4 linked regions of the Tamandua tetradactyla genome follow. The protein of the gene in region 3 interacts with the protein of the main gene of each other region in a pairwise test. Links are inferred from orthologs where the notes say so. Each region holds a gene or a part of one and is shown on either strand. Other genes may lie near its edges. The genes, in order: SPRY1, FOSL2, CREB5 and FOSL1.

Region 1 (7,653 bases), on a different chromosome or scaffold from region 3:
GAAGTCTGTAACTAAACCAACTGCCCCCATACTTTCCCCACTTTCACAACCCAGGTCTTCCGAGTGTCTGCTTTATTCTACCTTCTCGGCACACTAGGAGAGACTAGTGTGCCGAGACACTTACAGCCTACTGAGACACTCAAAAATATTTAGCGGTTACTCCTACACACTGTCATTCCACCTCGCAAAGAACTTTTTTAACCCAGGGCTTTTTGAAAGCAAAGGGCCTCTGCAAGCACTGAGCCTCCACACCTTAGGAAAAACCGTAGGGAACGTGAATAGTGTAAGGAGACGACCAGGGACAACTTTAACTTGGGTTTTACAGAACGGTCGCAGCAAAACTGGTGCGGGCCGGTGAGTAAAATAACCAGGTAACCATTAAAAGCAGAGGAAGGCAGGCACTCGGATCCAAAGAAAAGCCCATTTTCCCGCAGTGACAGTCCGCGATCTCCTCCCAACCACGCGCCCACGCTCTCGGCAAACTCTCTCCAAAGACACACCGGCCAAGCAGCTACCTCTCCGGACCGCCCGTCACAGCCCACGGGCCTCCGAGGGTGCCCACCTCGGCTGCCCGCGCGCCCCAGCCTCAATCCCGGCGCTCGGGCGGAGCCTTCCGGGTGAGCGGCGGGGGGGCAGCGCAGGCGCCCGGAGCCCCCGGAGGAAGGCCAGACGCAGCCACACGCCGCGCGGGGACGACCGGGGGCGGGCGCGAGGGGCCGAGCCGCGAGTGGCCACGGCGGGGCTGCGCGCTCCGCAACCCGGGCCGAGAGCGCGGGGCGCCAGGGCCAACGGCGGGGCGGGGGAGCCCGTTACCGAGAGCCGTCCCCTCGCCCTCCGGCGGGAGGCGGACCTCGCGCTTTTACAGCCGCGGCGCCCCGCCGGACAAGGGGAGGCCGGACGGAGGCGGCGGAGGTCCCCGCGCGCGCCGCGCACACCACACGCACACCCACCTTCATACGCGCACACCTACACACACGCACCTACACACACGCACACCTACACGCACGCACACCTACACACACGCACCTACACACATACGCACCTACACGCACGCGCACCTACACACACGGCAAAAGCCTCCCTACAGCCCTCCAGGGAACCCCCCAAACCTCCTAGAACCCATTTTCCGGGTGGTGGGTCCCCCGTGAGGCTCACCAGTCGCTGCCACCGGCTCACGCGCCCCGGAGCCCCCGCCCGCGGGCGCGGGGTTGGCGGGAGGGGCCTGCCTGGCGCCTCCCCGCCCCGCCCCCTCCCGGAGGTCCGCCCCGCCCCGCCCGGGGGCCCGCACCTGCCGCGGCACGCACACCCGCCCGCGCGCCTCCCGCCGCCCCGGACCGCGGACGGCGCGGACCACTCACCTCGGCCGGAGTGCGGGCGGGAAGCCGGGCCCCGGGGCGCGGGGCGGGCGGCGGCGTGCACGAGCCGCGTCAGCCGCGGCGGAGAGGCTGTGGCGGCCTCGCGGCGCCGGGCCGGCCCCGAGTGCTCCCCGCCGCCTCCTTCCGGCCGCCGCGCACACTCCCCCGCGGCTCTGCGCCGCCCGCGTTCGCGCCGAGGCTCAGTGACATCCACCTCGGGAGCGTTTCCCCGGCAGCCCCTTCCGACAGCCAGAACAGTGGCGAGGGCAGCCCCGCGCGGGGGGGGCTCCGGGTCCCTCGGGGCAGCGCGCGGAGGACGGCGAGGGCGGGCCGGGCGGCGGAGGCCACGGAGGGCTCGGACCGACGTGCTTCCCGGGCTGCGGCCTCTCCTCGCGAGGAAGGAAGGGCCGGCGGCCTCCGGACGAGAGAAAGTCCGCGTCGCGGGAGTTCGAGACTCCGAGACGCCCGGGCCGGAGCTCGAGCCGGCGTCGGCGGGCGGGTCAGGGGCCGCGCAGGGGCGGGGGGCGGCGGGGGCGAGGAGTGCGGGTCCTTGTCGGCCCGAGGCGGCGGGGCGTCGTCTCCGGTCCGCGCGCGGGCCAAGCCGCGCTCCCTGCCCCGCGCCGAGCCGTGGGCGCGCAGCGTCCCGGGAACTCCGGTGCCAGCGGGTCAGCCTCGCGCGGCGGCGCGCGCTTCAGGCCTGCGACCCTCAGGTTCCACGTCCGGAGCGCCTGCTGCAGACGAGGAAGAGGTAGAAGCGCGTTAGCGTCCCTTTCTTCGCGCCACCTGGACACGCAGCTGTCCGCGCCCCGGCTGAGGGCCGAGCGGGACCGGCCACTCGCGCGCCGCCCGCCGCCCCCTGCCCCGCGCTGCGGTCGCGGCTCCCGGTGACTGGCAGGCCGGTGCACGGTCTCGCGTCAGCCGCCAGCCGGGGCAACATGCAGTCTGGCACGTTTTTGCCGAAGTGCTTTTGCCCTCGGAACGCCTACAAGTCCAAACAACGTTCAAGCAACGCTTCTGCGCCTTGGAAATCAATACCCAGAATCGGGAAAGTCAGGTTTTAAAACCATTGCCTCGTTCGGGCCCCGGTGGCCGGCAGTGCCTGAACGAGCACGCACTTGGTCTGCACAGACTGCGGGTCCCTCTTCGCCACAATCCGCGCTGTCCCTCACACATGCGTCGCTGCGAGACTTTTCAACTTGTTGCTCTTCGGATAAGGAAGAAAAGGGAGCGGGACCCCGCGATTTCTTTTAGCGAAGGGAGCGGGACCCCGCGATTTCTTTTAGCGGTAGCATTGACTTTAAGAGATCAGCATTAGCAGTGGAAATGCTCCTGAAGTTGTGAAATACGACCAGTAAGTTTAGAAGTAAAGCGAGTTCAAAGAAACTTCAGTTCCTTGCACATGCAAACCTGAGTTCTCAAGTAATCGTTCCTAAAATGTCTACGGACGAAAAGGAAGGAAACAGTTCTTACCTAGTGCAAAGGCTGGAAACTGCTTTTCAGGCACATTTACAGCGACTGTGTCTGGTCGTTATGCAGGCAGGGAGCTCGGCCCCCACTATCTCTCTGCAAACCCCTGCGTGCTGTCCCGAGCGATCCCCTCCGGCTCCACAGAATTTCAGCCTTCGCCTCCTACCTCCACCTCCGCTCGACGACACGCCCCCAGTGATATCATGTGTCAATCACAGGGGCTGCCGGAAAACCTGGAACAGGATTTCCCCGACAGTCGTTTCCTTTTGGGTTTGTGCACGAGCTTGGACGCTTTGCCCTGTGTGCTTGTGTAGCAAACATTCTGTCAGTGCCTTTTATCACAGTACCGCCGAATGCGCTTCTCTTTCGTTATCAATCTCAGTAAGGTTGAATTAGAAAAGAATTTTGAAGCATTCAGGAAAGTTAAAAAAAAAAAAAAAAGAATGTTAACCCACCATTTCTGATCATTGGGAGGGAAAATATCTAGTTGTTAGTGAAAAGATGCTATCATAACGTTAAGTTTCTATTTAAAACAAAGGTTCAGGAGATATGAAATCTGAAAGTTCAAAAGAAGACACCCTTTGCTGAAAATGTAATATAACAATAGGTCATAAGTGTGAAATTTAAGCTGCAGATTTTTAAATATTACACTATCTTGGTTTGTGATGCAATTTCCCATATATCAGTCGAATGAAATAAATCCAAAATTCCTTCAATTTTGTAATATATTTGTATAATTATTAAAAAAATCACCCCCTAATTTTTTTTAATCAGCTGAAAGGCAGTTAGTTAAAACAACTATTTATCAGTAATTTTTATAATTCTTAATAATACATTATTTGTAATAAAATATTACAAAATACATTTTAAGTAAAGTTGTAATCATGCATATAGGAACTTTTGCTTTTTGCTTGCTTACAACTTATGGAATTTTAGGCATCTTTATCAAAGTGAGTATCATTTATACTCACTTTGCAGTGAGGATAAATATATGTGAAATTTAAGATTCCAAAGAGACCTTAAAAAGATGCCTAAAACCAAAAGTAGGTATTTACTGGGAAGGAAATATGTTTTTCCAGCATATCAGGAGTAACTTGAAATCGTTGACAAAACAAAGGAAACAAAAATAAAACTTCAGAATCTAAAATTAATATATAAAGTTAAGGGTGAGTACAACATTTTCAGTTCAAAGCAGTTAAAAAATCTCATTCTTAACAATAGGAAGTGATTCTGTCAAAACCATTTTTCCTTAGACCGACTGGGCTTTCAAAGCTTTGAGCACTTAAATTTAAGGTTGTGTCTACAGTTGCCCTTCAGGAACCTAGAGTACCCTAAGAGCATCAGCAGCAGGAGAAAAGCTGCAGGAGAAAATACACAATAAAAACTGTGTATTTTTTTTTAAACCAAGGAGCTGCGTATTCCTCCTTAATATTATAAATAGTATTAAAAGAAGCTGTTTAAAAGTGTAAAATTGATGTTATTTATATTGTCTTTTTTCCCCCATGGATCTTACTATATTCTGGGATGTGATAAACTTTTACCAAAAATGGATCGGTTTTTCTCAATAGTCAAATAGTTTTTATAAATAGATCTGGAATTGATCAACAGTCAAATAAGAAATAGAATATCGCATTAGGGCATCTTGTTTCGTTCTTCAAAATTGTCTTCTCAGCTGTCATCACAATTTGGGGAAGAGAGGTCAGTTCACCACTATGATAAAGCCGGGACACTCTACTTCCATAAATCCCAAAAATAGATTTGGAAGATTTCAATTACAAATAAACTTCAAACTATTCAAAGAGGTATTAAATTATGATTTTTATAAGATTGGGTGTTTTAAAAATGCAATAATAAATACAATTCATGAGATTTTATCTGTAACATCATCACAGATAATGAGACATATTCTATTTAGAAAATCAAATATTCTGTTACACAAAAGTTAACCAATGACCCTTTACAGGATTTAGTACTAAAACACACCAGTATGTTTTTCTATAAATAATGCATTGCAAATAAATATAAGGATAGCCTTGCCACCTTGGATATAGAAGATGTTTTGTCCCTCCTTTTAACTGCTTACAATTGTAAGCCTTGTTAGAAATTCTTAGTTTTCAAGTTAAAATAGGCATTCTTCTTAACTTAGTAAGTTTAATTATAGCGTACTCCGGTTAGAAATGGATAGCTGGGATATGAAATTTTTCTGAGAAAGAAAAAAAAATTTAATTTCAATGGGACAATCTTATAAAATAATTTTTAGTTTACTATATTAAGGTATGTCCAGAAGAATAAAGTGAAATGAAAAGTGACCCCTAGCTTGTCCTTTATTTTCATGTAAGAATAAAACTAGCCTTTTCTTCTGATGATTGGATTTGGGGGGGGGGGGGGAAGGAAATGAAAAAAAATGCAACTCTTTGCAACTGCTAGTGGTTTTTTGTTTTGAGTGAAGTAGCGGGAGGCTGATCTTACTCATTTATCTCCGTTATTTGCCAAAAGAGCAGAACCATAATGTGTTCCAAGCTCTTGAAAAATAATATTTTATCAATGTTCCCGATGTTTCCATTGTCGTGATAAGAAATGTACAATAGTATTTTATCTTGTTGAGAAATAAATACACAAAAATCACAGAAGTTGATGAGTTAGCCTGTGACTATTTAATAAGTCAGTAAAGAATCAGGGGTGGAAACAAAGTCTCTTCTCTTGCCTTTTAGGGCAATAGTCTCTACATTACTATACTTCCCAAGGAAAACTGGCAAGGATAGACCATTTTATTTTCAGTTTCCTTTTGTAAACAATCTTTGTAGTTGACAGAAATAGACCAACCTATTCTGTAAATTTTCCATAAACATTCTCTTCATTTTCATAAGCTTAAACCTCATCCTTCTGCCCTCTTTGATATATTAATGTTCTATATTGGTTTCAAATTCTAGAACAGGGCAAATCACTTCTCTGAGCCTCAGTTTCTCAATAAATTGAGTAAATCACAATGAATGATTTATCAAGTTTCTGTCATCGCCATAATTTTATGACCAATCATTTGTGGGCTTTGTCAGCACTGATTCTGTTTTTCTGCAAGTTGTAAGAAAAGAAAGAAGTGTATATGGAAGAGCTGTAAATGGAGCCCGCCATACTCTAAGCATCCTATTCCTTCACTGGAAATCAAAATGATCTAAGACTTCAGACGAACTACATGACACTATGTATCAAAGGTTTTACTAGTTAAATCCACAGGGTAAGGTTGTATAAGGAAACATCTTTGCCCTAGCAAGAAACAGCCCTCATTTCTTATCTAGCCAATTGTAAAATAAATCCTGTCCTCTTTCCTCTTCAGTGATGTTAAATGTTCTCCTCTGAGCCTAAACTTGTCCTTCATTTTCATGTGAAAACAAGATTCCCCATCTCTTCTGCTGATGATTTTTTGAAACAAGCAGTGGAATAACTTATAATGATAACCTAGTATCATCTTTGATTCTGGTCAGCAAAAGAATTATTAACCTCAAATTTCCATATCTATCTACTGTTATCTTCGCCTTTAGAAACAAGTGTACAAAAACCGAGGTTATTTTAAATTTACAGTTATTCCCAAAAATGAATTGTAGGGAAAATATAATATTTTCATTAAACCAAAACACTTAAAATATCACCTGGGGCTTACCCAGTTTAATTTTTATTTCCTATTGAAATAACCCATGACCACAGCTACAGTTTATCCTTTATTTATGAAAAAATTATAAAATGTTCATTTAATGGAATAGCTATATGCATGTCCCTTAAAAAAGAAAATATACAAAACTTGATAACATACTTTTTTTTTAAGTATTTATACTTAGAAATTCCTTTGATTTGCAATTCCCTTAGGGCATTTTTAACAATTTCTTTTATAAACATTTTCGAATGGTCTGTAATAATTGGTGGGATATATGTATTGACAATCTGGGTTTTAACTGTATCACCCTTCTGTATCCTGGCTTATAACTTTCACTGTATTTAGCCATATGTCCCATGCCAATATTATAAATAGAGAAACAGCGTGGTGTTGGGTAAAGAGTAGCAGACGTAAGGTGTGGTGCTATGAGGTTTAAACCTCAGCTTCGCTACTTTCTAACTAGATGGTTTCGTTCACTTAATTTCTCTAGCTTGCGTTCTCAATAACCTGAGGTGAATAATAATAGTTCACCTTCCCAAATCTCAGTGCCACTTTAGGACTCAATATATGTAGCGCTTTGTAAGCTTTAAAGCTCTGTATAAATTGTTGTTGGTTCACATCGTCTCAAACACAAGAAATGTTTAAAATCCCTCTTTCCAAGCGTTTCATCCCTGAATAATGAATTTATTTGCTTCATAATTGCTTCGAGTTAATTCAGTTTTACTTTTATTTTTCTATGGCTGAACACTTAGGTTTAAATAAATGTATAGCTGTGTATATGTTTAACTGCAAATAGGTAGTAGGGTTTTAGAGCTGCTATCTGCTAATAGTTTCAGATTAAGGAGTTTAATGAGATTTGATCGCCTGAACATTTATTTATCTGGAATTTATAAGTGTTGACATTTTATTTCCGGTTAAGCTCATGGTCATTGCAAATATTGAAAACTCTCCCTATAAAATTTGTAAACTCTGTGATCAGCAAAAGTTTAAAATAAAAACAGTAACTGAAAACATTGCAGAAGTTGAAAATAAGTAGAAAAAGAAAAAAATAGATGATGCTTCCTTATACATGTATTTCAGAATGATTATTTCCTGTTGCTTCCTTTTGAGACTCAGAACACTAATTTTGATTCTTTATCAATATGGCAGATATAGTAATAAATCAGTATCTGTCGACTACCAGAG
Region 2 (7,275 bases), on a different chromosome or scaffold from region 3:
AGTGAGTCTCGTACTCCTTGATTCAATAAGGGAAATATCCTCCTTGATTTATTTTCACAAGTTATCTGAGGAAGAGACAAATGGGAGGCCTTGGAAAAATTCTGCGTTTTGTTTCTGGTTTGCTTTTTTACAAAAAGGGGGCCCAGCTGATGAAAACAAGTTATGAAATGACCTATGTTTGTGTAACTGGCTGGATTGCGTAACGCCCAGAGCCTGAGACCGTAATAGCCAAGTGAGCAGGCGGTGCGTGTATCTAGGACGTGTTTTCCTAGGAAAGCTAGGAGAGAGAAGACAACAACATCAAGAGAAAGAAAAAAAATAAATCAATCCAGGAGGGGGAGATGTCTGCACCTATCACGGCCAAAACAAAATCACCAACGATCAAACTTTGAGATTAAAACTATAACTGGAACAGGAAATATTTTTCATGCTTCGAGTTCCAGCCATATTCAAGAGCAGACGCTTTTGAGATGAGTTATCTAGCCCCTCCAAACGTCACTGGAACTCACGGACAGTATGTTACGATCGAACTTTATGAAGCTGGAGAGGAGAGGAAAGGAAAGCTCTGGGTTGAATAAACAACAATAAAACTCACCAGAAATATTGTTCCCCTCCCCCCGGAAAATAGAATGTTCCCTTCCCCAAGAAAAAACCAGGGTCTTACATGGATGAGTCTTCTGAGAAGCCATAGAGGAGGAAAGCTCAGCCACTCTCTGCCATGACAGTCTCCGGGTTGAGGAAGCAGAGGCACATAAAGTGATTACAGGTTTTATCTGGTATGTAATAAAGTTACCTTGAGCCTGAGATTGGGTGGAGTCACAGCACAGACTTGTGAAATAACAAACGCGTCTCAGGTCAGCTTTGCTCAAACTTGGAGAGGCGATGGAAAAACCCTCCACCCCCAGGATCAGGCGGGCAGACAAACTTGTCTAAAGTGGCAGCACTTTGCCAGTCCCTCTGCTCTGGAGGCAGCCTCGCTGGCTGCCTGGTGGAAGGGGCAGGCGTACAGGCGAGAACCCCGTGCGCTGGTTATTACTAATTGCAAAATCCTCATGTGTTACAGCATGCTAGGAATTGGCCAACAGCTGTTTTTTGCTTCAGTAATGAGGCCCCATTACACTGTGCCGGAGTGAGCTCTTTTCCTTCTTCCTAGCACTGGTTTCCTGTCTGATTTTCTTCCAAATCAGGGAATTGCCTCCACTCACATCCTGGGCTCCAAGCCCCAGTGACACAGATTACTCAGTTGGGGCACTGGTGTCCAGACTTGGCTTCCCACACAGGCCCCAGGCTCTGCAGCCAGGTGGCGGGAATGGAACATTTAAATGTTCACTGTCCTGGGAACGCAGCTAAAGCAACAGGGAAGAAATCAAAAGATCCCTCTGGTGAGGGGAAGAGGAGAGGGGCGTTCCGGGGGTCAGAGGGAAGGGGTACAAATGACTTCAAGTCACTGCCTAGTGACGTTTACATTCAGTTTTAAAAACGAAAACAAAAACACCAACATGGCTGGAAAGCAGATACAATGAATCACTTTTCAGATAAGATTTCCTATTCAAACCCTCGGTCCCTTATTAACGGTGCCCCCGGCTGCACTGTCAAATGTGCAGACTCCAAACTGGGCTCTCTATGTGGATGCTTATGGGGGCAGCAGAGGAGGTAGAGGGAAGAAAAGGAAGAGCCGTTCTGGGGACTCTCCAGGTACGGCAGGTAGCCTGGTTCAGGTCTCAACAAGAGCCATATTTCCACTTTATCCCCCAACCGGCTGCACCTCTCCATGGGACGACCCCACCCCTCCTGGCTGGCTCCAAGAGGTCAAGTCCACGGCCCTCCTGGAGTCGCTCCTCCTCTACCCAACTTGCCTAAGGCTATCATAGATCCTGCTCAAGGTGGGCTTCAGGTTGTCCTGGGGCTTGAAGACTGGCTGCCAACCCCACCCAGTAGGCACCCCACCGCCGCCACCACCGCCGCCGCCACCCCAGCAGCACTTTCTGGTATTTATAGACACGCAGAGGGCACACACAATCCCTCCAGCGCAAACCAGTCCGGCTGCTTTAGAAACAAGTTGTTTTCTTCTCCCAGGACTATCCGGGAGCCTAAGCGAGGTCTCTTTCCTTCACTTCTCTCTGGGCCTCTTGCCCAGAGAACCCCCAGATTCTCAAGGCATCCCTTCCGGAGGGGGGCCATATAGGGGATGGACTCAGGGACCCGCAAGCAGACACCGAGTCACTCAGGGCTGGCCTCCTCCTGCCTGACCTTCGCACCTGGTTCCCAGGGCTGCCACCCTCACCCCCGTCCTGGATTACTTGAAAAAACCCCACCTTTTTAGAAATAAGGCTGCTGGAGAAAGCGGGGAGTGGGGAGAGGGCTTTCCCATAGGACGGGCCCCTCGCTTACTGGAGGGGCATAGATTTCCCGATTTCCTTGTCTGTCCACCACGGGGAGCGCGGGGGAGTGGAGGCGGGGAGGTGGGGGGGTGGGGGTGGCGGCGGGGGAGTAGGGGTGGGGGTGGATGTTCCCCGGGACGGGAGTAACAGGCTCCTGGGAAGGGAACCTGCAATCGCAGAATAGGAGCTAAGCTGGATGCGATGGATAAAAATGGGGTTTTCAAGCCCTCTCCCCGCTCCGATTTAAAAAAATAATAATAATAAAAGTGGGAGAACTAGGTAGGATGAGAATCCCGAACTTGGAACGGCGGGCCGCAGGTATTTCTTCGCAAAGACAAGAAAAGGAAAAGAAAGAGAAAGAGGCAGAGGCGGCGAGAGGAGGGCGGGGGGTCCGCCCGCGCCGCCAGGTGCACCAGAGGCCGGCACCTACCTGCTGGCCGCCGCCGCTGGAGTACGACTCGGCGTGCGCAGGAGAGCCGCTGCTGCCCCGGGACGAGGTGTCAAAGTTCCCGGGATAATCCTGGAACATGATCCGCGGTGGGAGCCCGAGAGGAAACAGGGTGTTTGTCTTCCCCCGCCCTCGTCGCGGCCGCGCACTGGCTGCTGCGCGCTCCCTGGCTCGCCGGCCGCGCCCCGGGGTCTGGCCTGGGCGCTCACGCTTCTCCCCCGGGGCACCCGGCGCGGGCGCGGGCGCGGAGGGCGAGGCAGCGACCTCTGCGAGGCAGGACCCCCCGAGCGCCTCTCGCCCAACTTCTCTGCGGCCCTCGAAGCGCCACGGGACCAGCCGTCCACCCGGTTCCTCCCTCTAACCAGTCTGCGCGTCCGTCGGTCCCTCCCCTGCTCGCGCCCTCCCGCCCCCGCCGGGACCGACGTCCAAATCGAAAAGTGGGAATTAAAAAAGGATGGGAGCTCCTCGAGCCCTGCCTGCCGAGTGTGGGAGCCCCAGATTGTAGAGCGATCAAAAACTAAAAATAAAAATAAAAGAAAGAGAGCGAGAGAAAAGAAAGGCTGCCCTTGGTGGAGAAACTTCTATTTCCTCCTTTTCGAAAAGGGGCCCGACCATAAACTTCCTGTGGCTAGACCCGCCGCCTGCCTTTCGGGGCTGCCGGACACTTGGCCAGCAGGAGCAAAGCAGCCCGCGCGCGTCCCGGGCCCCTGGCGCGCCGGCGGCCACGCACGCCCGTGAACTTCAAGCCCAGCCCGCGGGCGGCGAGAGACGCGGGCCCGGCTCCAGCACCAGCTCCCGGAGACACCCGCACTGCTTCCCGGCGCCCGCGCCTCGCCCGTCGCCTCGCGGGCCCTGCCTCTGCCCGCCGGCGCCTCTCCCTCGCTCTCCCCGCCGAGCGCCGCTCGCTCGGAGCCCCTGCGCTCTGCCCGAGATGAGTCACTACAGTGGCACGAGTTCAACTCCACACTCTTTATTATCCAGCCCCCGTACCATGTGGATTCACTCACGTCAACCCGACTCCACCTTGCAGGGAGGAGCGCGCCCGGAAAGGCGGGAGGGGGAGGGGGAGGGGGAGGGAGGAGGACGCGGAGGAGGAAGGGAAGCGGGAGACGGCGGGCCGCTCGGACGCCAGCTGCCTGCCCCGGAGCAAGAGAGGAAGAAGGTGGCGGCGCCTCGGCCGCGAGTCCGCGGCGCGGTCCGGGGAAGCCGAGGCACCCGGGTCCTCTCCCCACCCTGTCCTCATCCCCTCCCCACCCCCAGGCCCAGAGCCCTTGGTCTCTTCCATTGGCGCACGTTGCCAAAGATGGTCATTTGCGTTAGAGGACGTGAGTGCGGGTTTCCTCGCTCTCGGGTGACGTGGAGGGAGAGGGATTCCCTCGCCCGCTCCCGAGCGCGCCGCTCCGGCTCCCCCCTCCGCCCGGGCCGGGGCTCGGGGCCGCCGCGCTGCGCCTGAAAACTGAATCACGGCCCTGAGGAGCGAGCGGGCGGGTTTCGGGAGGCGCCACCGCGAGGCCGGGAGCCGGGCGCGCACAGCCGCTGGCAGGGAGGGCGCGGCCGTGCGCGGTGGCCCGCGCCCTCCGCGGCGCCGCCCGGTGTCCCGGCGCCCTGGGCGGGCAGGCGACCCAGGCTACCCGCGCCGCCCTGCGGCCAGGCCTTGGGGCGCGGCGCCGCGGGCCGCCGGGGTCGGGCTGCCAGCTCTCTGCCCTTGGTGGCGGGCTGCCCACTGCTGCTTTTTTTCTTTTTTTCCTTTTTTTTTTGTCCCCCAGCGCTCGGGTTAATTTGTTAGGAGTAGCCTTGAAGCCGAAATTAACCTGTCAAGACATTCCGACCGCCCTCCATACCGGACAATTAGAACGCATCTAATAGGAGGAACTGGGCAAACTGCAGGTTGTTAATTAAAAAAAGCAGAGGAGGAGGGAGGCCGGCGAGAGGGTGTGTCCCCACACAGTCTTCAGCTGTTTGGAGCGAAGTTTGGGGCGCGGGTAGTCGGGACTCCTGGGTCTTCCCGCCTTGCTGGGCGGGGCGGGGGGAGGCGCAGCGTAAGAGCCCCGGCTTTGGAGTCTGAACGTCTGACTCTGCTATTTACGTGCTGTGAGACCTTGGACGAGTCCCCGAACCTCTCTGGGTCTCAGTTTCCCACTGTAAATCGAATACGTTGGGCCAGGTGACTTTCTAAGGCCCCTGTCAGCGCTGGAGCTTCCTCAGTCCTCTGCAGAGATGATGGCGTGTGAGCGCAGAAGCACGGTTCTAGGAGTGAAGGGACGTGGGTCCTGATCCAGCCTCTGCCTTAGCCTCGGTTTACCCGACTAAGTGGCGCCTTGTGCACGCCACAGGGTCCTTGAGAGGACCTTAACAGACTGTTAAACGCTCTGCGCTCTGACCCACCACAGTTCCGCCCTCAGTTTCTTGATCTGTAAAGTGGAGGTGTTGCTAAGAAAGAAAAATAGAGGCGGGAATTCGAAGCTTTCCCGGGGCTCTATATAAAGCGCAGGCGTTTCCGGGACGGCTGGCGGCATCTGGTCGCCTTAATGGCCCCAAGATACGGTAATCCCGAACAATACTCGGGGTCATTGTTTACAATTATAAAACACATTCTGTCCTGAGCTCCATCCCCAAGGACGCGCGCAGCGAGGCGAGGCCGTCCAAAGACTCCTCGCACCTCGGCCGCCGCGCTCCACCCGGGGTCCCCAGCTCGGCGGGCCCGGGTGTGGGTGGGGCGGGTGAACGCGTGGGTGCTGGGTGTTTCTTTTGTTTTGTTGTTTTTTAAATCCCTGCGTTCTGGCCTGCCTGGGTGTTTACGCGCCTTTCCCAGCAGGACTGAGTAAATGCAGGCCTTTGACGCAAGACGGATCAGCTCTGTCCTCAGCGGCAGCAGCAAAGCGCAGAAAACTCAGAGTGGGGGTGGGGATGAGTGCAAAAGAAGAAATCGTGATACGTTTTCCCCTCGTCTCTCCGCCCCCTCCCCGTGCCCAATGCCCCCAGGCGCGGGGAAGGCAGGCCACGAGGGCCTCCAGGCACCCTAGCGAGAGCTTGGGGGGCTGCGAGGGGAGGAGCGGCGGGTGCGCCCGGGGCCCTCCCCCGCGCAGCCGCGTGTCGGAGCGGCGGGAACAGACGCACTTTTGGTTTTAGTTTGAGCGGCAGCGGCAGCCCGGCCCTCCCCCACCCCGCGCTCGAAAATCCGGGTGCCTCTGGGTCTCTCCCACACGATCCTTCCAGTAACGCCGGGTGGGGAAAAGGAGGGGGGAAGGGGAGCGGGAGCGTCCACCGTGGCCTCCGCGGTCCCGGGCGCGCCCATGCCTCGGTAGGCGCCGCTGGGTGCAGGCGGGCGAGCGCATCCTCGCGCCCTCGCCCGCCCCCGCCTTGCCCGCACCCTCGGCCCTTTCCTTTCTTGTGGGTTCCCGTAAAGCCCAGCAGCCCCGAGACGTCTGCAGAGCATCATGGAATCTGTGCTGATGCAAGTAGGCAGCCATCTCCTTGGTGCACCCCCGGCCTGCCTCAGAGCGCTTTGATCCCGCCTTCCCCTGCTCCACAGCCTGCGCTGGCTCCCACCGCCCGCCGGGAGGTCTGCTATCCTCCCGCTGCGGTCCTCCGACGCGCAGAGCTGCGTCCTGCCCCTGTGGCAGGACTGACCGCGCGAACCAGTGGGTTCCTCAGCCGGACTGTCTATGCCAATCGGAGCATTTCGTCTGCAAGCCCTGCTTTCTGCGCCCTCCGACGGGAACCATTGCAGGATCGCCCGGTCAGAAAGAGGCCCTCGTGGAGGTCCCCCCCCCCCCCCCGCCGCCTGGAATAACAAGGAAGATAGAGCCCGACATTTATTGTGCATTCACCAAGAGGCAGACAGCACGTGGAATGTTGTAGAGGGATTGTCTGTTGTAGAGGGATTGTCTGATGTAGTGCTCACCCAGCCATGGGAGGTGGGCATCATTTCCCAGTTGCAGAGGGAGAAAGGGACATTAAGCAGCTTGTGCAGGGAAACTGGTTGTAGCAGGTTAGTGACCCAGTCGGAAGCCCAGCTGGGCCTCTCGGGCCCAGGCCATCCTCCTCTCACCCAGGACATGGAATGAATCCTCTGCCGCCTGCTGGGGTCTTTTCGTTTCTGTTTTATGGGTCTCCTGAAAGCATGGACTTCATCTGGTTCAGGGCTCGAGGTGCCCCTCTTAAATAAACAGTCCGGTACCATCGCTCAGTTCAAGAAGGGGGTGATGTCAAGCGAGGGAAGGGAAGGAGAGGAATGGGGGGCCACATGTGGTTTGGACCATCTTCTTGCCGCCTCGCTGGGTCTCCAGGACCAGCCGGCCACACTTTTGCCAGTTTCTTCATGTGTCCATCCAGCCCAAAGTTTGGTCCCCAAGAGTAACACCAGGAGATGACACAACTCCCAGTGTGGTGTGCGTCCGGCTCGCGGCTGCACTGGGCACACTTCTGAGTGCCACATGTTCATAA
Region 3 (7,525 bases):
AGCAAGGACTTGCTGTCTGCAGCCAACAGCCACATAAGTAAGGTTGGTCATGGACTTTCAGAAGATTGCCAACAGCCAGGTGAGTGCATGTGGAAGCCGAGCCTCAACTAGTTGAGGATTGAGATGGCTGTGGTCCTGGTGAACACCGTGATTGCAGCCCTGTGAGAAACGCCAAGCCAGGGTACCCAGCTAAGCCACACCCAGATTCCAGGACAGAAACTCTGAGATAATAAATGTATGTTGTTTGGGGATCATTTGTTACGCAGAGTAGGTAACTGTTTATAGATAAATGCTTATATCCCATACTACATACTTAGCATTTTCTTTTCTTTCTGGAGTATAATAAAAGGAAATTTTAGCTGCCTAAATTATAAGGAGAAAATCTTAGGTAGTATAGCGATGGGGGATATTCAGAACTAGAAATAATCAATCAGGATAAATCCCAAAGTGAATAATAGCTATATATAGTACATTAATCTTAATAGCTACTCATAGTTTTTATAGCATTTTAAAATCTAACTTTTCACATTCGTGGTCATTTACTTCTTATACAAAGGCTATGAAGTAAATGCTATTATTATTTTCATCCTACAGATGAGCAGGCTGAGACTCTACGGATTCCTAGACCCCAGGAATGAAGGCAAGGCCCTTTCTATCTTGTTCATTGCTACTCCCCCACTGCCTAGCTCTGGGCATAGCACTGTCAATGCGTAGGTTGAGTGGATGCTGTCCACAGCAATATTATCTATAAAGATGGTGCCTTTTTCATGAAGTTCTCCAACTGACATATATTCATGCATCAATCGATCAGTCTCTCTCCCTACATCCATGTATGTGAGTGTCTGTGCATGTGTGCATATATACATGCAAATGCGTGTGCTAAACAACACGGGTACTTACTTCTGAAGACTCATTCTAGCTTTAAGGAGTGTAAAGAGGATATTTCCTAATTTAATCCTGTGCATTTCATAGAGCTCTACACTGTCAAAGACAAAAACTTTTGTGAGTTAGCAACCCTTTCTCAGTAAATCAAATCTCTTCCCTCACATACCATTTCCTATCATCTCCAGGGAGAAAGCTGGAGACAACAGACCATCTGAAGAGTCACCAAAGGAGGTCATCGACCAGCTGAGAGCCGCTTGTCCCACACAACGCCTCCCTCCCCTGCTGTACCTCACCTCCCCTGCCCTGATAAACACGGGGAGTACTAAGTAATAGGTATTCTCAAAGGTCATTCTATTAAAAAATCACTGCTCACATTAGCGTCACAACAACAAAGTTGTTGACCAGGAAACAGGTATGTGGGAATTATGATCAGGAAATTTAAACCTTCCTTTTCAGAGTTTCAGTCAAGTGATCATTCAGTCTTCAACCATATCCAGTCTCTCCCCACATATTAACTAACAAAAATGTGTTTGTTCAGAAAAGGAATGTGGAATCATTAAGTAATCAAGGACTCTACACTTTAACATTAAAAGAAAATTGTTGCATATATAATTACTCTTATAATTATATGGTTACAATAAGATTATATTATATATATTTATATATATATATATGTATGTATAAAATAGAGGAACTGAAGCATGCCCTACGCAAAGTAATGAATTAATAATGGTCACTCATTTGTTCAGCAAATATTGAAGCTACGTGGAGACTTATCTGCTGGGAATATGATGATGAACAAAATAAATTCAGATTCTAGTGAGACAGGCTTTGTGCATGCAAGGACTTGAAATTCCAGTGGGTTTGGGCCCAGTGAGCAAAGAGCTTGTGCTGCAAGATGATGCTAGCCTACATGATGTCAAAGGCTGTGCTCTTGACTGTATCTTTTTATTTATTTATTTATTTACATGGGCAGGCACTGGGAATTGAACCCGGCTCTCTAGCATGGCAGGCGAGTACTCTGTCTGCTGAGCCACCATGGCCCACCCACTTGACTGTGTCTTATATCAGCAGTCCAGACCCCTCACTGGAACTCCAGACTCAGCATCCAGTTGTCTACTAGACATGTCCTCATCTGTGTGAGGCCCAAAACTGAACTCCTAGTCTTTCCCACCTAAGCTGTCCCACCCTCAAGCTTCCCATCTCAGTTAATGACCACTCCATCCTTGCAGTGTCCCAGTTCAAAAACATTGGCATCTTCCCTGACATCCAATCTGTCAGCAAGTCCTGCCAGCTTTACCTTTGAAATACAGCTAAAGTCCAGTGTATCACATGACCTCTCCTACAATTATCCATTCCAAGTTATGACTATCTCTTGACTACTAATTGGTCTCCACCCACCACCTTTACAGTATAAAGGGTGATCTTAATATGTAATGTATTCTATATTCAAAACCCTCCAATGGATTCCCAAATCAATGAGGTTATGAAAGGTCACAGGACAATCTACAAGCCCCTATCTCCCACTATTTCCACATCTGCCTTCTTGAAATTCCTCAACCTACCAGGACATCTGTACTAGCAACTCCTTTTCCTAGAAAACTCTTTCTCCACATATCTGCAGGAACTAGTTCTTTACTTCAGCAGGTCTCTACTCAAAAGTTACTTCATCAGAGAAGCCATCCCTCACTACCCCATTTGAAGTGTACCTCCTCCATCTGAAATATGGAAGTTTGTCTTCCTTTTTAGCACTTACCACTATATGATGCATTATATATTTACATATTTGTGTATTACTTCCTCCCATAAGAGTAGAGCTGTTGTCTGTTTGGTCCATTGCCATTTCACAAGAATCTGCAATCTGGTCTACACCCCCAGAAAAGCCATGTTCTTTAATCCTCATTCAGTATTGCTGGGTAGAATCTTTTTTATTGTTTCCATGGAGATGTGACCCACTCAACTGAGGGTGGTAACTTTTGCTTAGGTGTTTCCCATGGAGATGTGTCTCCACCCATTCAAGGTGAGGATACTTTCTGGAGCCCTTTAAAGGGGAACCATTTTAGAAAGAGCCTACAGAGCCCACACAGCCAGAGAACTTTGGGGATGCAGATAGAAAACATCCCTGGGGAAGCCTTATGATATGAGAAAAGAAAGCTAGCAGATGTCGCCATGTGCCTTTCCAGCTGACAGAGGTGCTCTGGACCCCTTCACCTTTCTTAAATCAAGTTTATCATTCCCTGGATGCCTTAGTTTGGACATTTTCACAGCCTTAGAACCGCAAGCTTATAACTTAATAAATTCCCTTTTTAAAAAGCCATTCCATTTCTGGTATATTGCATTCTGGCAGCTTTTGCAAACTAAAACACTTGCAAACTCTTTCTCCAGACATCTGTAGGAATTAGTCCCTCACTTCAGCAGGTCTCTACTCAAAAGTCACCTCATCAGAGAAGTCATCCCTCACTACCCCATCTGAAGTGTCCTCCTCCATCTGAAATATGGAAGGGCACACTCTAAATACTTACTCTGTTTATTTCCCTTTTTAGCCCATACCACTATATAATGCATTACATATTTACATATTTGTTTATTACCTTGTCAAATTAAAATTTAAGTCCCATAAGAGTAGAGACGTTGTCTGTTAGGTCCACTGCCATATTGTAAGAACCTGAAAGAGTAGAACATTCTGCTTAACGAGTGATAGCATTTCTCACCCTCTTTTGTAATCATTTGACTCTGTTTCTCTGACATAGTATCTGGCACACAGAAGACACACAAAAACTGTCGAATGAATAAATAAATAAATAAAAGTGGGCTTTGATTTAGAAATGGAAAGCCTTCTTATTTATAAAGGGAATGTCTAGATAGTGTTTCCTGATGGGGGAAAAAAGCAAAGCGATTTAGATGCAAAACAGGAATATTGTTAGAGCTCAGCTTGGAAAGGGAAGGGAAGTTTTCTTCCCTGAAACAGAAAGAAAGGAAGAGGTCAGAGGAGAAAATGATGCATTTTATGATGGGGTGAAGGAAAACCAACGGAGCTCATATGGTGGCAAAAGGGTGGAGCCAGAGGCTGGAAAAGGATGGAAACAGTGCTATTGGCTCCTGAGGGCACAGTAATAGTCATTGCATGCCCAGAATGTCCCAGCCAAACAAAACACAATCTCTTAAAACCCAGACTTTCTCATTTCCAAGACTTAAAGGGAGAAAAGGATAGTGGTCAACAGCGCTTGAGCAAGTTATTTGACCTCTCTGAGACTCAGTTCCCTCATCTGTAAAATAGGGATAATGACACCTGATGGGTAAAGTTATTAGGGGATTTAATTAGATGATGCATGTAAAATGCTAAGCACAATACCTGGCAAGCTGCTTGCTATGACTACCACTATGGCCAATTCCATGCCCAAACCTACCACTTCTCCTAATAACCAAGCCCCCAACCAGCATCACTTCTACAGGTTATATCCTACCACCACCACTACCACCACTTACAACCACTATCAATCCAACCTCAACTATTACTACTACCACAACTTACCAGTTCTATGACTTTGGGAAAGTCAAAAATGCTTTAAGATGTGTCCTCATCAGAAAATAGGTAGAAAAGTCTATGATTATAATGATAAGAAACGATTTCCCTACCAGGTTGCTTTAAGGTTCAAAGTGAAGCATAAAAAATACTTTATAAATTATACAAAAGGCTTTATAAATGTTGTTTTTTGCTGTTGTTGTTTTGGGCTTAGACTTAAATAGAGCACTTTACATAAGCTCTAGGAACAGCCAGGCAGGTGTCACCAGATGACAAAATTGAATGCCAAAGAGGTTAAGTGACTTACTCAGAGTCACGAGGTGATGGCACTAAGAATCAGAATTTGAGCCCTACTCCCAGGCTCCTTCAGATGATAAATCAAAAATACATCGGGCAGTGTGATGGTGGCTCAGCAGGCAGAATTCTTGCCTGCCATGCCTGAGACCCTGGTTCGATTCCCGGTGCCTGTCCATGCAAAATAATAATAATTAAAAAAAAATACATCCAGTACCCTTTTCCCCTCCATTCTACTGCACCGGGGTCTTCCTGCAAATCCACCTCTAACACTGAATAGAAGAGAATTCTGTGCACCAAACAGGTATTTCAAAGTTGCAGAGACAGTGTCTAATGCTTGCTATTCTAGAGCCTCTTGAGAATCTTTACAAAAGGTCTATAGTTTTTGAATCCACCACAAAACCTGGAATCAAGATCAGCCTTCTTCCAGGATATAGCAGGTAAGCCTCTCACATACAAATAAGGGATCTGTGAAAGGTGCTTTCCCTCTCCAGCTAAGGAGAGCAAAGAGTCACTTTTAATGATGTGTGCTATTGGGCTACAAAATGACCATCTCCAGAGTCCTTTCATAATAAAATTATAAAACCCCAGAGAAGAAATACCTTGAATGTCTAATATCATATTAACATCTCAGCTCTGAAGAAGTAAGATGAGAGAGAAGTTCCATAAGAAGAGCGGGAAGGGAATAGGGTTTGGAGTAGACACTCAGTCTCTGAAGAAAGACAGCAGGTCCCTGAGTGCACGGTCCAGGCATTTCTGGGGAATGGAATGTGCTAAAAGGAAGAGGGCCAGAGATAAAAGAAATGAAAGACGCGCAAGGGCAGCCTAGACAAATCTGAGGCTGTCACAATTTTGCCTAAGCCTATCCCTAAAGGAAGGCTTTTTTATTCAACCAGCGTCAGGAGAAGGAGAGGTTTTTCAGGGTACATATTTTTCTTGCCAAAAGATTGGTCAAGTGTTTTTTAGATCATAAAAAAAACCCCACAGTGAACTTAAATGACAAGCAATAGGGAATGGTTAAGAAAATGATGGTATATCGACTAAATGGAATATTATAAAAAACCATAATTTTGAAGATTGAGCAGTCATGTGAAAAATGTCTGTGGTATGGTTTTGAGTGAAAGAAGCAGAATTTCATACATATCTATGCTCTGATTAAAACTGCTTAAAAATTATGATAACCTCTGGACAAGGTTATGGAAGAGAATGTAAAAACTAAAAATCACTGATATGTGAGAGCCATGAGATTCTCTCTGATTTATCCCCAGCCACCTCGACCTCCATTTTTGGATTTCTAAAATATCATTACAATGGCCTTTAAAGGATAGAATTTAAATTGAGGCAATGCTCAGGGGGAAGGAAACATTCATCAATACCCAAAAATCTCCTTAGGCTGGTCCTCCCAGGAACCCTGACCAGGTTCTAATGCTGGTAATAGGAAAGTCAGGACAAAGTACAATGCATGGGTATCCTCTTAACCAATTCACTCAGGATTAATTAGCCGTTCACTATATATAAAGGACTATATGAAAGTTTCTATGGAGGAAATTAAAACTGAGCAATATTAAGTTTCTTGCTGTTACAGAACTTACAACCAAGGGAGGGAATTTGTGACAAACACACAAAAAAACCACAATAGTAGGTAAAATTCAAAGAAAGGAATCATAAGAAAAAATATTAACAAAACACTGCGAAATCAATTAATTTTGCCTTCAGTTTTTGGTTTAAGAGATCAGGAAACTTTATGAAGAGATGATGCTTGTGATGGGTTTTGGAGAGTAATGTTTCCACAGGCAGGTGTGTGTGGGGGTGTAGGCCATCAGGGTGTGTGTGAGTGTGTGTGTGTGTGTGTGTGATTGGGTGGGTGTGCTAGAGGAGAGTAGGAGGCATTCCAGGCAAGAGGAGAGTCTGAACATGGCAGAGAGGCACTCAACACAAACAAGAATTCATTGCAAACCTGGCTTAAATGCAGGAATACTGGCTCGGGTAAGTCTAGGGGCCTTAAGACGGGACACCAGAGAAGGCTCTTGCTCAGGGTAATGAGATGTTCAGAGCCACAGAGTGGAAAGATTCATAATGTACCCAAAATGAAAAAAAGTCTGAGCAGACACTAGATAAAACTGGTGACAAACTCAAACTCCCACATTTACCGTTTTCATTACACTGGGCAAACCACTTAACCTCTGCGCCTCATTTTACACATGTTTGAAAGGGGGAGATTCCAGTCTCTTAATAGATTTGTAAGGACTGATATGGTAGAATAAAAGAGTAAGCTCAATAAAGACTTGAATAATTCTCTTCCCCTTAATCTTCACTTCAGAGATGGAATTACTTTAGGAGACAGGGCGGAAAGACAAACATCCGAGATCCCAGGTGACATGGAGTCTAGTACACTTGGTAATGACATGGCTGCCAAGGGAAAAGGCAGCCAGTGATTGTCATGAAGGGGGAAGCCTGGGGCCAGAAGATGATGGCGATCCCAGCTGAAATGGGCACATCTGGAGAACTGGTCTGAGGGTTAGTTCACCTTTGAACAATGTGAAAATTAAGGAATAGTAGCAGTCTATCTAGGAGGAAATATCCAGGGTAAAGTTGGAAATAGAAATAATAGATGAGGAGAGAGGTGTGGACTAGAGACACAGAAGATGTGTGATTTTTAGAAGTTGTCCCTTCCTATTACTGAGCTCTGTCGTGCTCCATCGACCTCTCACCACTGCTCATCTTGATGGATTCATCTCAAGTTCAAAATATCCTATATGGCTCAAATTTCAATTGAATTTAGCACCCTGTATTTTCCTCCAAGATATGCATTTTTAAGCAGCT
Region 4 (7,230 bases), on a different chromosome or scaffold from region 3:
TAGGGGAGGCAGAGTCCCTGGCTTCCAGCCTGCTGGTGACACCTGTCAGTGCAGCTTTGGTGGTTAGCAGCCTACTTTAGAGTTAGACCTGTCTCATTGCTCACCACTTATGGGATCTTGCCTGAGTGACTCTACCTTTCTGTGCCTTGGTTTCCTCAGCTGTAAAAAGGAGGAGAACCAGCATACAATCCCCAGAGCGTTTTTGTGAGGATCAAATGAGAGGGAAACAGACTCAGAGAGTAGCTGAAGGGGAGCCTCTTGTTCCTGTTCTCTCCCCAGCTTTACAGAGCCGTGGGTGGCATAAGCTCACCCTTCCATGCATGTCGGCAGGTAGAGGCCCTCCGCTGCCCATTCACCTTTCCCCATGCACATCCTCACCTCCACCTCCATTCCTTGCTCCTGCCATTCTGTCTACCTGGAACTTCCTTTCCTTCATCTCTACATGTGCAAATCCTACCCATATTTTTCAGCTGTTATGCCCCTGTTCCAGGAAACTTTCCCCTGCTCCAGCAGTGACCTTGGCATCTGATCACTTTCTGCTTTGAGCAATAGTTGCCAGTGGTCCTGCCTTCCTCCCACCCCACCCCTACCCTTTCAGACAGGCGCTCTTCCTCCCTGCCATAGCACGCCTGTAGGTATCAGGACCAATGCAACGCCACTGTCCCTTACCTGTTCACAGGGCCGGCGCCGGATGCCTGGAGGTGGCCCCAAGGCCCGGATGACACCTGGTCGAGGTTGTGGGGGACTGTACTGGGGGTAGGCCAGGGGCCTGGGGTAGTTGCTGGGCCCCACGAAGTGAGGCTGCACCATCCACTGCAGCTCTTGACTGCCACTCACAGTGTTGAGGCTTGGCACAAGGTGGAACTTCTGGGGGGATAAGAAATGGAGGACCAAGGATTAAGGGACATCTAGTGGATAGGGCCACACTGCCATCCACCCCCAATGTAACTGCTGGTACTGGGAAACCAGAAAGAGATTGACCTGTGGCAAAGCCCTGCTCACGAGCTGTGTGACTTTGGGCAGGTACCCTAACCTCTCTGTGCCTCTGTTTTCCCATCAGAGTTGATACTTATAGAGTGTGACCTGCCGGGTAGTATTCTAACCACCATACAGATACCAACTCATAATTTGCACAACAGCCCTAAGGTGGCAGCTCTAGTATTATCTTCATTTTTAGACAGGGGAGCAGATGTCCACAGACAAACAGCTAGGAAGTGGAAAGTGGAATTAAACCCCAAGGGGCCCAGCTCCAGAGTCTATGCCCTTCCCCACTCCTGCACCCTGCCTGAGTGCCATCTGCCCAAAGAGGATGATCACACTTCCCAGCTCCCAGGTGGCTGTGAAAATCGGGTGAGAGAATTTAGGTGACAGCCTGGAAAGTGGGAGGTGCCCCGTGCACAGGCTTGTGGTAGGCAAGGGCCACTGCTCTGGATTCCACCTGTCCCAGTTCTAATCCTAGCTCAGTTGCTTACTGGGGCAAATCAGTGTGCCTCAGTTTCCTCATTCGTGACACTGTAAAAATGAGGATTAGAGCACTTCAGTGGTGTTACGAATTACCTTTTAATTGCTGAAATATTAGCTTGTTTCACACCCCCACCCCCCTTTAACGTGCATAAAATAATGGTGGGTTTTAAGATCAAGGGCATCTTAGATTCAATGAAATGCGGTAACTGAAGTGGAAAGCACCCAGCATGGAGCCTGCATCTGAGGAATGGGCTGGGTCCATTGTTCTGAGAGAATTGGGTTTGAGCCCTGGGGCTGGGCCCTGGGTGTGGGCACCTAGTCGTCCGGGAAGCGCCCTACAGGCCCAGGCAAGTCCGGACAGTGGTGGCCCCGGTGCAGGCTGCCGTCCCAGCGGCCGGGTGACCCCAGTTCCGGGCCTGAGAGACCGCCGACGGCATCTCCGGCTCCCGAGGTTGTCCGGGCCCGGCAGCTCCGGGCCAGGAAGGGAGGGGCGCCCCGGGTGAGTCAGCCTCCGTGACTCGGCGGCCGTGACTCGGCGCAACGGACGCCCGCTCTTTCCCTCCCCTGGCGACACGTGTTGGCAGCCCCTCGACAGGAAATGGACACCTGCAGCCTCCTGGCTGCCCCCCGCCGGCAGCGGGCGCTGTTCGGTGCCAGGAGTCGGGGACGCGGGAGTTGCCCGCAACGTGGCCCCGCGCACGTCCCGGCACCTCCAGGGCTCCAGTGGCCCGATCGTGGGGTTGAGAACCCGTCCCTGGAAGCCCACCAGGCTCCGCTGCCCGGGCCACCGCTGAGAAGGGGACAGGGGCTTGGCGAGGGGTGGGGAGGGAAGGACAGACAAACGGAGCGACACACAGACAGTGCCAAGGAGTCCCACTCTGTCGGGACCGGTCAGCCCAAGGACCCCGCCTCCCTCGGTGCCCAAGCCCAGACTCCAGATTCCGGAATTTAGCCCGAGATGGAGACACGCTCTGATCCTACTGGGGCTACAACTAACCCAGGCGTCCTGGGTCCCTGGGCAGGAGGAGGGGACCCGGGAAGTGGCTGGGGGGGCACGCGTCCCCCCTGGGCGGTGGAGGAAAAGTGGCCGCTCGACGGCGGAGAACGGGCAGGGTCCTGCCACCCGGCTCCCTACCCCAGTCCCCAGAGCCACTCTCGAGCTCACCCCGGCGTCCCAGGCGCTGTCCACCCGAGCACCAGTGGGCGTCGGACCCCTCTTACCTGCTGGGCGGCCGCCTGCGCCGCGGCGGGGGGCTGCGAGGGGCCGCCGTACGCGCCGCCCGCGCCGGAGCTCGGTCCCGGTTCCCCGAAGTCTCGGAACATGCCCTGGGCTGGCTGCTGTGCGGGGTCCGCGTCGGCGGCTGCGGTTCTGACTCACTCGCTCCCCAGTGGAGTCTTTTTTATGAATGAAAAGTTCTTGGGCTGAACCACTTGGACCGGGGGGCGGGGGGTGCGCGGCGGCGCGGGTCACCTCGGGGCTCCGCCTCTAGCCTTTTGCCAGTCCGCCCCGAGCTTTTCGACACCTCCTACTGTCCGGTAGCTGCCTTTTCTTGGGGAGAGGGGGTGGCTTCGGCGTCTCCCGGCCGGGAGTGCTGCAAGTATCCTCCCCCCCTCTGACGTAGCTGCCCATACATGGTGCAATTTCCTCGCCGCGCCCAGGTGGAGCCGAGGGTTCCCCTCACGGAATTACGCACCTGCCCAGGAGCCGCGCGCCCCGCCCCGCCCTGCCCCGTCCGGCCCCGCCCCGCCGCGGGTGCAGACAGAAAGCCAGCCGCGGCGTTCCCGGCCCCTATCCTCCTAGTTTGGCCGGGTCTCAGTTTTTGCATCTGTAAGATAGGACGATATAATCTCACAGCTACCTTGCCACGCGTGGGAGTTTGGAAAGATGAATGTGAAAGCGGTTTGGAAGCTGTAAAGTGAATTGTAAATGTGATGGGTGATGGTGATGATTTACTGGGTGCTTATTTCAAGCCAGGAACCTTGCTCAGTGCCACCCACAGCTTCCCAGGCGTGGCGTGAGGCCCCTCCACTGGCATGGTTTTAAAGTTTCAGGTATACTAGAAAGTGAATAAAGGACAAACCAGATTACAAAATTGGTGGTACGGATTGCAATGAATAAAATACTACTTTGAAGACCCATAAATACAATACAATAATAATTGTGCTACTCACAGGGTAATTCCAGGAGCTATAACAAGCTTTAGTACAGAGTCCCTACAGGCAGTGGGAGCCTCCAGTGGGACATGGGTGTAGGTGTTTGATGAACGGCGTCTTCTTTAAATGCCATCTGTGTTCCTTGTGGTCACCAGCCTTGTTTGAATGTGTGAATGGGAAGCCAAGAGCCAAATGTCAACAACCAAAGACCAATAACCCTGGGAGGTGGGTGCCATTATCATCCCCATTTCACAGATGGGGAAACTGAGGCTGGGAGATATTGAAATGAATTGCCCACTAAATGAGAACTGGGTTCTCAAACCGGGGCTGTGGGAGCTCTAGGCCAGGCTCAGCCAAGACTGTTCAAAGCCTCACAGCTTCACAGACATCTTTTCACTCACACCAAATGTCAGCACGGGGTGGGGGGGGGACCTGTCTGGAAGCTTCTTCCCTGCCCCCTCCCATTTTATAGATAAGAAACCAAGGCCCAGAGAGGGCAAGGAGCTGCAAGTGGGCTTAACTACAGAAAGAAGATTGGGTTCTCCTGCTTTTCCACTGGTACCGCCATTTGATCAGCTCCAGTTTAGCCCACAGAAAAGAAGGGTCCAGGATTGCCTTCCTTGGGAACAGAAGCCAGAGGGGTCTGTGGACTCAGTCAGGGCTTAGCCAGAAGCCCAGGTTGGCCCCTTCAGGGCCAGAGCTACTGTTTTCTGTCTGTGTGTGACCCTGGGCAGGTCACATTTCCTCTCAGCTCCAGTCCCGGTGGGTAGAATTGGGACTCTCCACTGAGCTCATGGGGCTGCTATGAGGAATAAATGGAATGAAGCTGTAAAGTGCCATCTACTCAGGAGGTCCTTAGCAGCCTACTTACCCCCGCCCTTGTCCTAATCAAGGCTTGTCTTCAATGAAAAACAAAAAGAAACCATAGTAATTGAAGAAGTGCATGCATCAGATGATTCTGGGTCCTGGGTTTGAATTCTGGCCAGGCCGCTCATCAGCTGTGTGACTGTAGCTGAGGCATGCAATCTCTCAGCCTCCATTTCCTCATCTGTAAAATGGAGACAATGATAACTACACCTCAGAGTTGTAGAGGCATAGAAGTACTGTCCCATGCCAAGCACAGCACCTGGCCCCATAGTAAGAACTTAACAAATAGTAGTGGAAATAAATCCACATACTACTCAAAAGCCTCAGAGATGGGAGCACCTTGGGACTCTGGAAACAGGAAGCACTCACACACGTTGATATCTGGCCTCCTTGGCTCAGCTCAAATTGGGAGGGATGACACAGGAAGCCAGGTGGCATCACCTGCAAGGACAGTCTTGACCACATCCACCTGCCTGCCTCAGAAGCAACTACCTGAGCAAGGGCTTGCCCCACTCCTGACATGGGGCAAGCCTCTTAGCCCCTCTGAGTTTGTTTCCCCATCTCTTCCAAGTTATGCATGTGTGTGATTACACGGCTCTGAAAGTCCCTTCCTGCTCTAACCGTCGGCTCAGTCACAAGGAGGCCCTTTCAGAGGCAGCACATTCCAAACTCCTCAGTCACTAACTCCCACCTTGTGGCTGCAGAAGTCTTCTTGGTCCCTGACCTCACCGGCTCCAACTTCAGGAGGCCAGGAGAGAACTCCAGGGGGTCACAATGAGGATTGCTGAGAGCCTCGTGGGGCGCCAGGAGGCCTGAGAGACCATGCACTAGCCCCTTGGCAGCCATGGGACCCTGGCCCAGTCATTTCCCCTCTCTGGGCCCCAGAGAATCCCAGCTTTGGGGGTTGCAGTGAGGTAAAATGGTGTGATACATGAGTGTGCCCAATCAGTGCCACCAGAGCATTGGAGGGGATGCTTATTTTTTCAGTTCCATTACATTTTTGTTTGTTTGTTCTTTTTAAGTTGCAGCTTAACATGCATGCTGGAAAGTGCGCTCCTAAGGGGTTCAGCTCAATGCTTTTTTTTTTTTTAAGCATCACAATTGACCTTTTTTGTGTGTGAAAAATATCAAAATACAGCGCAACAAGTAGTTGTAGAACCAATTTCAGAGTTTGGTATGGGTTACAATTCCAGTTTTAGGTTTTTACTTCTAGCTGCTCTAAGATACTGGAGACCAAAAGAAATATCAGTATAATGATTCAGCACTCATACTCATTTGTTAAACCTTACCTTCTCTGTGTAACTCCACCATCACCTTTGATCTTTCTCCCACCCTTTAGGGGCACTTGGGCTATGCCCATTAGCTCAATGTCTTTTGACATATAGATAAACCTGTGCAACTACCACTCGCATTATGATGTAGGGCACTTCCCTGTGTCCCTTCCCAGGTAGCCACTCTTCTGACTTTTACCATCACAGATAAGATCTGCCAGCTCTTGAACTTCATATAAATGGAGCCATATCTTGTGTATTCTTTGGAGGGGAGTATGTGTCTTTTCATGCATCCCATCTGGGGGGGGTTTGTCCACAGAGCTGAGTGAACCAGTAGCTCTTTTCTGTTGCTGTATTGCATTCTAGTGTGCGCAAAGTATCAAAAGCGGGCAACACTGGGGGTGCTTCCAGTTTGGGGCTAGGATGAATGAGGCTGCTGAGAACACTCTCAATGTGTTCTTTGGTGGCCATTTGCATTCATTTCTCTCGGACATTTGCCCAGGCAGGACTGGAATTGCTGGGTCGTGGAGGTAGGCGTGTGCTTGGCACTTTAGTCGATTCCGCCAAACAGTTCTCCAAAAAGTGGCTTTACTGTTTTACGTCCCACCAGTCGTGGGTAAAGAATTCCGGTTGCTTCATGTCTGGAAGTACCACTCTAATTCCGGTCAACGGGCTGGCCCCATCCTCTCTCTTTCTCCTGGACTTTTTCCCATTCTGCAGCTCAGCACCCTCCTTTAGGTCTCCCACTTTGCAACCTGGAGGATATATGTATTTTTTGTTTATTGACAAATATTCACACACATACGGTCCATATCATCACATAGTTGTGTAGTCATCACCATTATCATTTTTAGAGCATTTGCATCACTTCAGAAGGATATATGTATTTTTGGGGGGGAAGGGTGCATGGTCTGGAAATCGAACCCAGGTCTCCCGTATGAAAGGCGAACATTCTACTACTGAACCACCTGTGCACCCCCGCATATATGCATTTTTAATCATGAAAATGTTTCCAGAGGAATCTTTTAAAGTCTGTCCACATCACTCGCTGTATTGGACCCTTCTGAGCTGTAGCACCTTCAGCAAGGCTACAGGGAGGTGCTGAGGCCTGGGGAGGGGCGGGGTGGCGGATGGGTAATGCACCCTCTTAGGTGATGTGTTGATTGGAGGGGCTGGAGGGCCTCGGGGATGACACTGTTGAGCTCCAATGAACCAGGCATGGTTCAAAGTAATTTATTCAATCCTCGGGGTAACCCTGTGAGGTAGATAGTAAGGTTATACCCATTTTACAGATTAGGAAATGGAGGCACAGAGAAGTTAAGTCACCTGCTAAAAGCCACACAGTGAGATAGTGGTGGAGCCAGGATTTGAACCTACGTACCGGGTCTCCAGAGCCGGGGCTTCTCATAGCCTTGTTAGTGTGTCCCTCAAAAGGGACCAGTATCCCTAACATTGGCATTTCAAGCCCTCCCAG

Evidence for each region.
Region 1: the proteins of CREB5 (region 3) and SPRY1 interact in binary tests that used the Homo sapiens proteins (3 or more experiments, as listed by UniProt). The two-hybrid records come from large-scale screens. The link is inferred for Tamandua tetradactyla from reciprocal best matches to the Homo sapiens genes CREB5 and SPRY1.
Region 2: the proteins of CREB5 (region 3) and FOSL2 interact in binary tests that used the Homo sapiens proteins (3 or more experiments, as listed by UniProt). The two-hybrid records come from large-scale screens. The link is inferred for Tamandua tetradactyla from reciprocal best matches to the Homo sapiens genes CREB5 and FOSL2.
Region 4: the proteins of CREB5 (region 3) and FOSL1 interact in binary tests that used the Homo sapiens proteins (3 or more experiments, as listed by UniProt). The two-hybrid records come from large-scale screens. The link is inferred for Tamandua tetradactyla from reciprocal best matches to the Homo sapiens genes CREB5 and FOSL1.

Annotation. Positions count from the first base shown.
Region 1 is NC_135348.1:45,256,623-45,264,275, forward strand, and holds the start of SPRY1 (protein sprouty homolog 1), read right to left. Parts: upstream 3,007-7,653; 5' UTR 2,826-3,006; intron 2,087-2,825; exon of another isoform or gene 1,980-2,086; intron 1,409-1,979; exon of another isoform or gene 1,359-1,408; intron 1,228-1,358; exon of another isoform or gene 1,156-1,227; intron 1-1,155. UniProt on the Homo sapiens protein: Inhibits fibroblast growth factor (FGF)-induced retinal lens fiber differentiation, probably by inhibiting FGF-mediated phosphorylation of ERK1/2. Inhibits TGFB-induced epithelial-to-mesenchymal transition in lens epithelial cells.
Region 2 is NC_135329.1:12,553,037-12,560,311, reverse strand, and holds the start of FOSL2 (fos-related antigen 2), read right to left. Parts: upstream 3,014-7,275; 5' UTR 2,911-3,013; coding exon 2,812-2,910; intron 2,457-2,811; exon of another isoform or gene 665-2,456; intron 1-664.
Region 3 is NC_135327.1:94,598,374-94,605,898, forward strand, and holds the start of CREB5 (cyclic AMP-responsive element-binding protein 5), read right to left. Parts: upstream 3,018-7,525; 5' UTR 2,789-3,017; coding exon 2,642-2,788; intron 1-2,641. UniProt on the Homo sapiens protein: Binds to the cAMP response element and activates transcription.
Region 4 is NC_135335.1:8,626,179-8,633,408, reverse strand, and holds the start of FOSL1 (fos-related antigen 1), read right to left. Parts: upstream 3,019-7,230; 5' UTR 2,788-3,018; coding exon 2,686-2,787; intron 868-2,685; coding exon 670-867; intron 1-669.